Bombyx mori: one gene and its partner. The protein of the gene in region 2 purifies or fractionates together with the protein of the main gene of each other region. This does not show direct contact. Links are inferred from orthologs where the notes say so. Each region holds a gene or a part of one and is shown on either strand. Other genes may lie near its edges.

Region 1 (4,011 bases), on a different chromosome or scaffold from region 2:
CATTTTGAGGCATTAAACTAAGTGAAGTCTGCAAGGAATCTTTGAGTGCCCCAAGTTCTTCCTCATCTAAACAAGTATCAACAACAAGCAGGTAGATTGGGGGCATAGCCTGTGCTCGCGTTATTGTGTACTCTATGGTGGAAAAGTTAGGAATCAGTTCTGCAGGTTGATGCTGTTCTGATATAGCAGCATATTGAGGTGGAAACTGAAATTAAAATATATTGATTACTCTATAAGTACTTTAAAAGAAAAAAACATTAGACTAATTGAGTTAGTGGCGAATTTCTTCAAGTACTCACTGGGTTTCGTTGGAAGCAAAAGTTGCAGACCCATAATTTAGCTCTGTAATCCACCTGGCACATTGGGTTCAATATAGCTCTGCATGTATTTCGTGTACAGAGTACAGGCTCGTACTGTATCGGTGGTAGGTCGGGGCGCTCCTTAAGCGGTTGGTACAAGCAAGCCAAAGGCACAACAAGCCTCGTAGCCTCAATTCTACTTGATGGCCATACGTTCCAAGTGAACCGTATGCCATCGCGGTCTTCATTCTGCTGGATGAACTCCTCGTATGTGGCCATATCGCCGATCTATACGAAAAAGATACATTACAAAAACATCATAAATGCACACAGACTCTGGTAACTTTAGAAGCACTATTAACCAAATGTACGTACCAAAAAGTCATGCGGCGAACCAGTTATAAACACATGAGCAAATTTCTTAAATCACAATATGTCTTCATTCAAAAATCCCATAAATTTCTCAATTTTTTAGAAACCAAGCAGACTGGAGAGGCTGGCTGATTTGGCAGTTGTCAACACCATAGACAAATCAGCTGTCATACTGGCCACGTCACATTTTTACACGCCATCCATCACAACATATAAAAATAATTTAAAATTTTACTATCAAACGAACCACAAATTAATAAATCTTTAAATATATAAATAACATTTTTAAATAAAAATACTTTTAAGGGAGAAAAAAAATAAAAATTTTTGGTTTTCTTTATGGTTCTCTGACGTTCCTTTCCACATTCCAAATTCGAATTAAAATTAATTTTAGATATAAAACACAATTTATTATATTCAGTCTTCAATATACAAATAAATATTATGTTAAAATTTATTTAATTAAAGAAACTTTCTTACTTCTTGTTGAAAAAAAAATTACAGTAAATATTTAATATAATTAAAATCTTGTCAACACTGTTCCCGTTAAAAGAACGAAACGTGGTTGAATGAATTATTTTTTTTATTTTAGGACATCGTAAAATAAATTTTCAATGGACGATATTATTTTCAAACAATACTTTTTATAATTCAAAATAATAATCATTTGGATTTTATTTGTGGACACAAAATTAATGACATGTCATTGCTTTGTTTCAAAAGCAGGAAGTTTACGCCAAAAAGTGCGACTGCGCACTGGCCAAATTAGTAGTGTGAAAGAAAATGGCGATCAGCGAAAGGCGTCCGGAGTTAACGTGATGAAAAACATTGTTAAAAGCTCAATTACATAGTGTTATAGTTATTAATTGTGTCAGATGTAGATTAATTAAGTGTTAATGAATAGTGATTGTGTATAAAAATGGCTGCGAATATGTACAGAGTCGGCGGTGAGTAGCAATAATTGGTTATTTTTGTTGTAGCTTCGCCGGTTCACCGCCAGCCGACTAGCGGTGCTTTGCTTTGATTGTCGTACTTTCATTAATTGCTTATATTAATTAATCCAAACATATTAAACACCCAAAAAATGCCGGTTTTTATGTATCCGTGGAGGTTATCGTGTTTATAACCGTTTGATAAAGTTTGCGGAAAAGTTATATTTTACCAAAATTCGTCAAATCAAATAGGACATTAGCATTTACGTCTAGGTATCATTGTATCGGCTCGTGTATCTGCGTGCGGGCGGTTAGGCATGAAGCGTCTTTAGTTACCTAACTGAGATGATAGTTTTTTAGAATAGTTTGATGATTTTGACGTGAGATTTTAGGTTATATTCGATGTTGTCAAAACATTTTGATACGAGAGCTGGTTGTTTTTGGGTTATTTGGTATATCTTGGAAGAGTTTAGGGATGATAAGAAAGTAAACAGTAAAAGTGTGGCGTCGCTAGTCATTATAAATTATTGGTTTGTTTGTGTATGGACGGTGGTAGTCGAGGATGTCGGTTGCTGTAGGATATTGATGCCGCGAGTCGCGAGAACAACACGAGCGCCTCATGTACCGCACTCGGCGTCCGTCGCGTCGAATGTTAATTAGCCCTTCCTTTTGTATCACTTCCTATCATGTAATGTAATGCTTCTGTTAAGGTTATGTCTTTGTTTCAAAATTAGCTAATTCTTAGTAAAATAATTTTGTTAGAACCGAGATGGAATGTATTTTATTTAATAATTTCATTAAATGGGTAAATAAATATTACTCTGTGATCAACTATAAATTAGGGATTATTAAAGTTTTTAATTTTAAAATTAAATCTTGACCCGTAGTTTTACACTAACCTTAGGTCAATATAGTAAATCTTAAAATGAAATATTTTTTTCCCTCCAAAACATAAAATTAACAATTTCATTCTAATTACCTATACAACAATTATAAAATATGTTCTAAAGCCAATAAAATTTTACTTTGCTATTAAATCAAGTTAAATTGTCAGTTCAATGAATTAATGTTAATCTTTTGTTAATCTTTTAAACCTGAAAGAGCTATACACTATTTTTTATTACTCTAAAACTACTGCCAAACTGTTCTCATTATAAAAATAATAAAAACATTTTGAAAATGCTGTCAAACACAATTTTTTGCAATCAACACTAATAACATAAACAAACATGCATTTCTTTATTCTATCAAGGCCACCACAAATACTTCAGATGTACTGAAAGCAGTAGGTATGCTCCAATAAACAAAGTTTAATATTGCAAATGCAAAGGATTCAAAATTAAAAGGTATTTTATTAATCCAATGATTGATATAGACCATGATCACAGTGATTATTAAATCTATTCTGGCATAAAAGTTTAAAGGGTTTGTCAGCTGTCATTCAGTGACCCTGCAATTAATGAATTAAAACATTTCAGGGTATCTAGGAAAAGAATTATAACAATACATTGCATTCTTTCAGTTTAAATTAATAGTATTGTGTTAGCGTAGTGTTATTTTAAGTATATTTGTTTGTAATAGAATATTTTGATCTACAACAAAACGTCTCTGCTCTACTCTAGTTTGTTATTGTATCTATTTATAAATTTCTACATATTGCAATTTTAATGCAAACATGCAGATATCTAATATACATCTGCATAATACACAATATAAATTTAATTTAGGTGCTGAGTAAAGAAAATACACTAAAAACACACTGACGCAGTACAATAAGAAACCATAATAATATGATATACACATACAGATATAAATAAATTCAAAATCACTAGGATGATTATTAAAATTTCAATAATGAAAATGGAAAATAGTAGTTTTTTTCAAGTGTTTTTTTATTCAATAAAAGTATAAAATTGTCTTTATCAGTGACCTTCAGCTTTTGAAAATTGATTGAGCTCAATGACCTATGCTTAGTTTTGTCCAACTAAAATACTATTTTTTGTTATATAAGCCAACATAGTATTTTTATGCATATATAAATTTCAAAATATTTAATTCCTTTTTTACGGGAATATTACGTATTTATATAAATTAACACTAAAAGTATTTCATAAAAAAGCATTAATAAAATAAGTTAATTATCCATTTTCAAAGTGCCCATAAATATATTTAATCATACATTATTCTTCTTCTATTTTTCCTGCTTATGTCGCTAATACCTACACTAATAATATCAGTGTTATACACCTATATAATGTAATAGAATTACTGAAGTTCATTTTAAACATAATAAAAATATAACAGTTATCAAGAAAGGAACTTAAATAAAATTAAAATGTGGTGTGTGTGAAAATATGTAATTTAAAACAAATGACCTTATACTATTACATTCCTTTCTTGTCGCGAGC
Region 2 (3,570 bases):
ATACCCTGACCTGTGGGGCCTGCAGGAGAGCGTTTGCGCTGGCTGACATAATCAGGTTCATCCAGCACAAAGTCTCGTCCTGCGATAAAGAGCTCACGTCTTATCACTGCTATAGCGCTGGTAAGTATAATAAGTATCAATAGGGTATCCACTAATATTTTTGAGTTTTGAGATATAATCCTTTACATAAATCTGAGATATCAAACATTCCTTGTTGTGGATAAATGAAATTATACTAGTTAAATAAGAATTTTACACTAGTAACTTCACTCTATACCCATATATTAGAAAGATTCACAATTTACCTACTACCGGTCGTCGATGATCCTCTACCAGAACACTGTCCACGGTGATAACCATACTCGATCCGGTGGACCGAATGGTATACAGTCGACGTCGCTCTAAGCACGCCATTACGGATCATCCCGATCCATTAACGGTGCTTTTAGGTACCACAAGCACCGGTCACCGTCCTCGTCGAACCCGTCGCTTGCGACGACGGGCTCGACGAGTAAATTAACCCATAGACACAACCCACTGAGTTTGTCGCCGGATCTTCTCAGTGGGTCGCGTTTCCGATCCGGCGGTAGATTCTGCGAAGCACTGCTCTTGCTAGGGCCAGTGTTAGTTGGCAACACTCCCGGTTTGAGCCCCGTGAGCTCACCTACAAGAAGAAGAAGCTCAAGAAGAAGCTGAAATAGCCTCTCAAGGCTATCAGAAATTTCAGGAAAAAAAGTGATAACTTTTTTTTTATTGCCCTTGTAGGCAGACGAGCATACGGCCCACCTGATGGTGAGTGGTTACCGTCGCCCATGGACTTCAGCAATGCCAGGGGCAGAGCCAAGTCGCTGCCTACAACTAAACAAAAATTAAAAACAATAAGATAAGCATGGAAATACATAGCCAGATAAATATTCCTCAATATTATTATACTTTTCATTAATAACAATAGAAGATACGATCAAAATCAAATCGTTTATTTAACAGGTCCGAATTCAGACCAGGAAGACGGGTCCAGGCCAGGTCAGGTTTCAACAGCGAACTCTAGCGGTCGAAGACCCTCGCTTCTGACCGCAAGGCGACTTCCGAACAGCAGGATCCACACACCGCCTTTGGCTAGTCCATCAATAGCACCGCCTGACCTTTTAGAAGATGGAGGCGCTTCGAGCACTCCAAAAAGACTTCTCGATGGTATGCAAAAATACTACGATTCACATACTAATAAGGACAACATTTTTTTTAAATTAACAATTGTTAGTACAGTAAAAGCTTCTTAATCGTGCTTCCTTCATTCGCGTTTTCAATAGTCGCGGATTAAAAAAATTCGACTCAATTCTTATATTCGCGGCTAGAGATTTATTTATTCGCGGATTTAATCTATTGTACATCGATACATACAAATTGATTTAAACAATTCCAATATGTAGGTATCCAACAGACTATCTAACCGATTCTGTATTCGCGGCATATTTACGGAACATATGTATACCCCGCTAATAAAGAGCTTTTACTATATTAGGGCGTAACCGGTATACGTTTTACACCAAAATATTTTGCGTTCCAACTAGGACGGACATTGTACTACAACCTTATGCCTCAATGTGGACAAAAGCATTCATTTTGAACTCTGAATGGCCAGAGACCTAACTAAACAATACCAAGGTAACTAAAATCAGGAAAACTGGGAATCAGTCTGTCTACGTCATCATTAATACGTCATCGTCATCGTCAATACCCATATGATAATTGTCTAATCTGATAATTTTAATTTGAACATTAAACAATATTAATAAGTATACCACAATAATGAAATTACCTTCTTAAATCCGTTCATAGAGTAATTAAATGTAAATGAGTAAGAAAATATACACATACATTTGATGAGGTTGCCAATTTAATAAATGCAATTTTGACAAGAAGATAAACTATAATAGTTCTAATCTATATCTATACTAATATGTAAATCTACAGTGGTTTTACGGATATTCCGTTATAATTACTGAACCATGCATCCTATTGGCTTGAAACTTGGTATCCATGCAGAAAATACATGTACTTAATGCATAGGCTAATATTTATATGAGTGCTGGGCTTCCTACTCCAGTTGCGGGTGCGTTCATGAAATAATAATGTTAATTTTAAATGCCCAGCAAAGCGGACGGGTACAGCTTAATTCTAAATCTAATTCTTAGTTTAATTCTAAAGGTGAACCAAAATAATCATGATTTCTTATTCAGAAGCCGAAACTGAAACCTCAACACCCAAACGGCGGGCCTCAACATCACCGTTACCTTCAAGTTCGCCTGATGAAGATATCAAGCCTAAGATCAAGCAAGAGCGTATGGATACATCGGGATCTCCTGAAGACCAGAAAAAGTCGAGAACCGAGGTTGCCGACGCTGAATCAAATACCATGCATAGTGGTGAGTACAAAAATTTCAAATATGATGTATTCAATTCGGTAAAACATTTAGTTTGCGATTAATTTAATAAAACCCCGTTCTTGTTTCTATAAATTTTTGACTATTTAGCTTGTTCTCCCATCAAACAAAACATTATAGACACGCTAAGCAAAACGTATATTGGATTGCCAGGCTAACGGAAGAAACACGTGCGTTTGACAAATTCCTTTTATACGTAAGTTCCACGTCATCGCCTTTTCACGGTACGATATTTAATATTTTTATTAATGATACTGGGCACTGGTTGACATCAAAGGATTTGGCTTGCGACGACATTTTTATCTTTGCTCCATCCTTTGTACTCGATGCAAGATGTTGCACAACATCATTGTTGGACGTTCGGTAATGCTTACGTCATCGTAGATCCATACATTCCGTACACACACGCTGGGCGTAATCTCCAAACCCGATACATTATAACAAAGGAACGCAAACGAAATATATTAGACACGGTCTGAAAGCCACATTGAAAGGGGCAATGTTAAAAATACACCCAAATGAAAAGCTGGCGCTGAACCCGACTAAAAATAGCGAGATTTTTTCCTTAAAAATTCAAAACACTTCAATTCACTAATCCTTAAACCGTCTGATAAAAAGAATCCTCCGTAACATCTGTATAAGCGAGCAATCTTGCGGGGGTCGGTCCGGGGAATAATCTATCCGAGAGAGCTAACCCTTTGTGCGAGCAGATGCGGTGTCATTCGACACTTTTGTAATAAACCGTTGCACAACAAAGCTTTTCTTAAACCCGAAATTTGTGCATCGGTGTATTTTCAACCCGCATTTTGTTCGCTTCGTGCCGCTGTAAAGCTGTTTTAGCAGCGAAACCTTCGTAACCAAACAGTTGCGGCTCACTTTAATTATTTCGAAGCTGCATTTATACCTCATACTAAAGTATTAAGAGTCAAAATTTCTCAAACTTTATACGTTTACATTAATTAGGTTACCGTAATTAAGAACTAAGACTATGCCTTTTTTCGTCCTAATATATAATCGGCTCGTCATGTAAATACAATTGCGCTATTGCATGTCAATAACAGGTTTTCCCTTGACACCAGTTGTTTCGGATTATTGAGTTTATCCTAAACGTTCATATTAACCCTTTCGA

What was found. The genes of interacting proteins can lie anywhere in the genome.
Region 1: the proteins of B-cell lymphoma/leukemia 11A (region 2) and metastasis-associated protein MTA3 purify together in Homo sapiens (affinity purification with mass spectrometry; 4 studies listed by BioGRID and IntAct, counting the BioPlex papers as one, with this or other methods). This does not show direct contact. The link is inferred for Bombyx mori from reciprocal best matches to the Homo sapiens genes BCL11A and MTA1.

The regions. Positions count from the first base shown.
Region 1 is NC_085131.1:3,800,671-3,804,681, forward strand, and holds the start of metastasis-associated protein MTA3, read left to right. Parts: upstream 1-1,189; 5' UTR 1,190-1,590; coding exon 1,591-1,618; intron 1,619-4,011. Other genes in the region: protein transport protein Sec23A, read right to left, coding at 1-205, 300-578. UniProt on the Homo sapiens protein: Transcriptional coregulator which can act as both a transcriptional corepressor and coactivator. Acts as a component of the histone deacetylase NuRD complex which participates in the remodeling of chromatin.
Region 2 is NC_085124.1:5,004,154-5,007,723, reverse strand, and holds part of B-cell lymphoma/leukemia 11A, read left to right. Parts: coding exon 1-120; intron 121-987; coding exon 988-1,191; intron 1,192-2,237; coding exon 2,238-2,423; intron 2,424-3,570. UniProt on the Homo sapiens protein: Transcription factor. Associated with the BAF SWI/SNF chromatin remodeling complex. Binds to the 5'-TGACCA-3' sequence motif in regulatory regions of target genes, including a distal promoter of the HBG1 hemoglobin subunit gamma-1 gene.